Kluyveromyces lactis: one gene and its partner. The protein of the gene in region 1 interacts with the protein of each later gene in a pairwise test. Links are inferred from orthologs where the notes say so. Each region holds a gene or a part of one and is shown in the gene's direction. Other genes may lie near its edges.

What was found. The genes of interacting proteins can lie anywhere in the genome.
Region 2: the proteins of SPS18 (region 1) and KLLA0_A03883g interact in a two-hybrid assay, tested with the Saccharomyces cerevisiae proteins (2 studies listed by BioGRID). The link is inferred for Kluyveromyces lactis from reciprocal best matches to the Saccharomyces cerevisiae genes GCS1 and SNC2.

Annotation. Positions count from the first base shown.
Region 1 is NC_006040.1:1,593,109-1,596,137, forward strand, and holds SPS18 (Sps18p), read left to right. Parts: upstream 1-1,451; coding exon 1,452-2,525; downstream 2,526-3,029. Other genes in the region: SPS19 (2,4-dienoyl-CoA reductase (NADPH)), read right to left, coding at 1-392; KLLA0_D18964g (phosphatase PAP2 family protein), read right to left, coding at 2,785-3,029. UniProt on the Saccharomyces cerevisiae protein: GTPase-activating protein (GAP) for ARF1 and ARF2. Involved in intracellular vesicular transport. Required for transport from the trans-Golgi network.
Region 2 is NC_006037.1:343,474-345,621, forward strand, and holds KLLA0_A03883g (uncharacterized protein), read left to right. Parts: upstream 1-1,168; coding exon 1,169-1,252; intron 1,253-1,376; coding exon 1,377-1,625; downstream 1,626-2,148. UniProt on the Saccharomyces cerevisiae protein: SNC1 and SNC2 are vesicle-targeting proteins essential for normal secretory traffic between the Golgi and the plasma membrane. They may also be involved in vesicle fusion.

The DNA of each region.
Region 1 (3,029 bases):
ACCACTGATTTGAAAGCATTCGAGGATAGATGTGTAAAGTCCGCCAAGAAGTTACCAGCAGCGCCAGCGATAACGTAATCTAACCTACCAAATTTTTGAATGGCCACTTTAACAGCCTCATGCAACTGATCCACATTTCGGACATCGACGCTTGAAATGGGCAAACAAGAGTGTGGATCATGGACCAATTGTCCAATCTCGTGGGCCGTTTTCCTCGTCTTTTCCGGGTTTCTACCAACGATTACAGCTTTACAACCTAAAAGCACCATTGCTTCTGTTTGTACCCTGCATATCGTTCCTGCCCCTCCGGTGACAAACACGACCTTGCCATGGAACGTATCCTTTTTCCACGGCCCATTCTCAACAAAAGTTTTATCTAAAGTGTTAGGCATTCTCTCTTATACTGTTTCTGCGTACCTCTATGCTCAATTCCTGTCACAATTCATCGAAGTGATGAAGTATATGTCCCTTAAATCTAGAAAATGTTGACCTAGCAGTATTTACCCACCAGTATATATATATACAATAAACACAGCGAAGATAATTTCAAACTAACACCCTAAGAAAAGGGCAATCCCCTAAGTTGCGAATATGTTTTAGCTTCCTAGTTGGAGATGGAGTCATTTGAATTCGATGATCATTACTTCTACTTACGGGCTTAACAAGTCTGACTATATAATTGCCATAGAGAAGTGGCATTATCAGGTTACAGCTGCTGAATAAAGAGCGGAGAAGGATGTATTTTCTGTCCGGGTAACAAATTATCCGGGTACTGATTGATCTAATTAGCTTATTAAAATGCTAGTAGTTGTTCAGTAACTCTTATACAATGCACTCCAGAAACAAAACGCAAGTTCCAACCATTATATCGCCCCTTTAACAACGTAATGATACCGGTACCGAGCTGTTTCGCAACTTTTCGAGACAGGATGTCAGGCTTCGTGTTTAATACTTTCATTTCCGAAGCCAGAAGAACATTTGTTACCCGGGCATGGGCGGCTTTTTCTCTATCTCTTTGCATGAAAATTCAAATCTAGACCTTCCGGTGAAAATCGAAATTTAGCATGTTGATTATTATCATGAGAATCAACGAATCGGTGAATGTTGTGGTTTCTGACGTACCCGTGTGTTTCTTCTGCTTCCTAGTGTGATTATTAGGGCTCAGCATCTGTGTTGTGAATCATTCGATATTTGTTACAGTATTGACACGCTTTAGAGGTTAAGTGTTGGTTCGTTAGTTTGTGTTTTGGGGTAGAACATTTGTTCGATATTGTGGCTGGAAAGCAAAAGTCAATTAAGAAGAATTGGAACTATCGATAGTGCCTGAAGTGTTAGGAGCCATCAATAACACTTTTGACAATTTAAATCAGTGAGCTGAGAATTTAAAGCTTGTGTTTCTTTTTTTTCCAGTTGATCACTACAATCATTATCAAATTCTCCGTCTAGATCCAATGTCAGAGTGGAAAGTCGATCCTGATAACAGGAGAAGGTTGTTACAGTTACAAAAAGTTGGTGGAAACAAGAAATGCCTTGACTGTGGGGCTCATAATCCACAATGGGCCTCGCCTAAATTCGGTGTTTTCATTTGTTTGGAATGTGCCGGTATTCACCGAGGATTAGGAGTGCACATCTCCTTCGTTAGATCCATCACTATGGATCAGTTCAAATCAGACGAACTAGTTAGAATGGAAAACGGTGGTAATGACAAATTTACTGAGTATCTGGAAGACCATGGGATTGATTCGAGTTTACCTCAGAAGTTGAAGTATGATAACGTTATTGCTTCGGATTATAAAGATAAACTAACTGCTATCTGTGAAAGCAAAGAATGGGAAGAACCTGATCGCTCTGATTTTGACCCAACCCAGCTTACAGCAACTAACTCTAGGTCCGGTACCCCTCAGCTAAATGGTTCATTGTCTGAAAAACTTGGCTCTGAAGAAGCAGTAAACCAAAAGGAGAAAAATGAATCCTATTTCGCTACACTCGGTGAGAAAAACTTACAGAAACCAGAACATATACCGCCATCCCAAGGTGGTAAATATCAAGGTTTCGGAAACACGCCTATTATTCAACATAAGAAAGGAAATCAAGCTGAACCTGGCTCTACTACCTTGACTTTGGAAAACTTTCAAAAGGACCCGCTTGGCACTTTCACAAAGGGTTGGGGCCTATTTTCTTCAGCCGTGTCGAAATCAATGGAAGAAGTTCAAGAATCTATCATCAAACCAAATGTCGAACAATTCTCACAAAAAGATCTATCTGAAGAGGCAGTCAGGGCTGCCAAGCAGTTTGGTCAAAAATTCCAAGAATCCAGTAGTTATGGACTGCAAGCTCTCAACTCTTTCACAAAGGGTCTGCAACAACAATTACAGGAAACACAGGATGGACCTGCTACCTCATCACAATACACGAAACTGTTTGACGGGGCAGATGCTACCTCAACAACGCATACCCAAGCTCCGGCACAAAACAAAACTTCAGAAAAGAAGATTTCAGGAGAAGACGGATGGGAAGAATTTTGAAGCTGAGAAGCTTAAACTCACTCAAATTTCTTTCACTTACTTTATAAATATCTCATTTAAATAATTGGGGTGGAGTTGAAACCCTCTATCACATATCCTGTGACATAATATTTTTGTTCAAATATTTTAAAACTGGAAGTAAACTTCGATGATGAAATGATATTTACTTTCGATCCACTTTTTATTTTTGATATAGATGAAAAGGAAAAGCATAAATAGAAAGGAAAAAAAGAACAGTTGATAGTCGTATGCTTGGGTACTATATAGTTGCGTGACTATTGCTTGGGTATGTTCGTCTACTCAAATTTCTTACAGTCACAATTTCTGGTTCTTCACCATCACCCTTTTGTTGTGAGGGGTCGACTTTCCATGTAAACTCCTGATCGTTGAAAAAACGTTTTGGTTCGTATGCTAAAGTCATATCTTGCTCAACTTTCGTACCATTAGCCAAGGTATACATTGCAGGCTTCCTCCAAATTGGTGGAAAATATTGCCTATATATCA
Region 2 (2,148 bases), on another chromosome or scaffold:
TCCTCTTGAATGCTGCTTCTGATCTGAGATATTCGTTAGCATGTGTTTCGCTTCGCTGGATGGCTGTCGATTTTGAATCTATGTTTCGATCTGAGTCACTTGAACTGCCATAACCGTGGAAGTCGCTAGGTTGAAGGAAAGTGTCATGTGGTTTATTTTTTGAACTCCCAGAGTAGTCCCAGTTTGAGGAAGGAATCGAAATTGTTTGGATAATATTGACAGTACCAGTATACTGTAAAGAACCATTCAGTTCTTGAGATATAGCAGTTCCATGCTCATTTACTGAAGATGAACGAATTGATTGTTGCATGGTCGTGCCCTGTTCTGCTACTTTGCAATTATTGACATTCTGTCGAGCTTCGAATGAGGAATCGTTTTATGTTGCTCTGTTGAACATAGGTTTTTCAGACTCATTCTGAGGTTCTGTTGGGATTGATTTACTGTTCGTGATTTCACCTGCATCATCATCATCATCATCATCATCGTCATCTTTTGGATACATTTCAGTGTTCTCTTCACAAGATGAAAAGTGCGGGTCTTCACCTTCTCCACAATTTGAATCAGAATAAACGCCTTCATCGTCATCATCATCGACAAGTGTATTAACAGAGCTAACTTCTGACAGACATGAATCGCCCTGTGAGCGTTGCTTCCTCCGCACTACACCATTCTGTTGTTTAAAATATCTTGTTCTTCTTTCTCGGAGATTGTACATCGTTAAGGAAGCTGCAACATTTGTCGAAATGTTCTAGTTGATATTAGCCTTATAGTAGTAGCCATGACGTGCTTTAGCGGAGGATTATTTAGATTGTAAATGTAACATAGTTTTGTTGTCTATGTAGTAAAATATCATTTACGCGTAAGGCTTCGTGTCTTGATTCACAAACCATTAATCACTATGCACGTATAGATTCAAATCCTAATCACTATTGACGGTGGCAATTTGTCCCCGGTACTGTTTTTTGAACGGCAAATCGAAAAATGGATAGATTTAGAAGTTAATTTAAAGAACAAACAGGCTTTTAAACCTTTATCATGGTGGATTTGAACCATTTTCAAAAGTACTAACCAATTTGCAGTGAGATTTGACTAGTAGTTGTGAAATAATAGTTTGCTATCAATTGAACCGGAACTTAGGTGCTGAGAAGTATAAAATAATTAAGCAACAATGTCATCATCTGTTCCATACGACCCATATGTCCCTGCTACCGAAGAGACCGCAGGTGACTCAAAGACTGCAGCTTTGAAATCCGTATGTTTGAAATGCATTTAACTATTTTACTTTAGCTCTAATATGAACTTCAAAGATACTAACAGTTTGAGTTGAAACGACATGACGATTGCTGTCCGTCTGTCTGTTTTGTCTCTACAAATAGGAAATCGATGATACCGTCGATATTATGAGAGATAACATTAACAAAGTTGCCGAACGTGGTGAAAGGCTAACATCGATACAAGACAAGGCTGACAATTTGGCCGTGTCCGCCCAAGGTTTCAAAAGAGGGGCCAACAGAGTAAGAAAGCAAATGTGGTGGAAAGATTTGAAGATGAGAATGTGTTTGGTTCTAGTGGTAATTATACTTTTGATTGTCATCATCGTTCCTATCGCAGTTCATTTCAGCTAGAGTTTCTAAATGAATAGGATGAATATCAACCTCAAGATTATCATAGGGTTGAACTCAAAGGTTCCTGTTTTATTTCATTTTGAAACCCGTTCATCTACAGTTTTATGCTTTTTTTTGTCCCTGCTTTATCACGATTCTTACTTTTAATGATACGAAATCAATCCGATACTCTATACGATATTCCATCAGACCATGTGATGCCATCTAAATTGTGCAAAGATGCGATATGGATTAGTCATGGAAGCCTGGCATTAACAGTAGCTTCTGTGCTTTTTCTTTCCTTTTTGATACATGCTATTTAGACCGGGACATTTGCATGTGCATTTCTGTTGATCATATATGTTTACCTTAAAAAATCTAGCAGATAAACTTATTCTTCTCAGAACTATAGCATTAATTTGGCCATGCTTCATCATTTTTCTGACATGAATAGAAATGCATTTCATTCCCGTCTACCACTATGTGGTTATATACTGGTAAAGAAAATGTACCTAATACTCAAATTTGTATAAACATATAAATA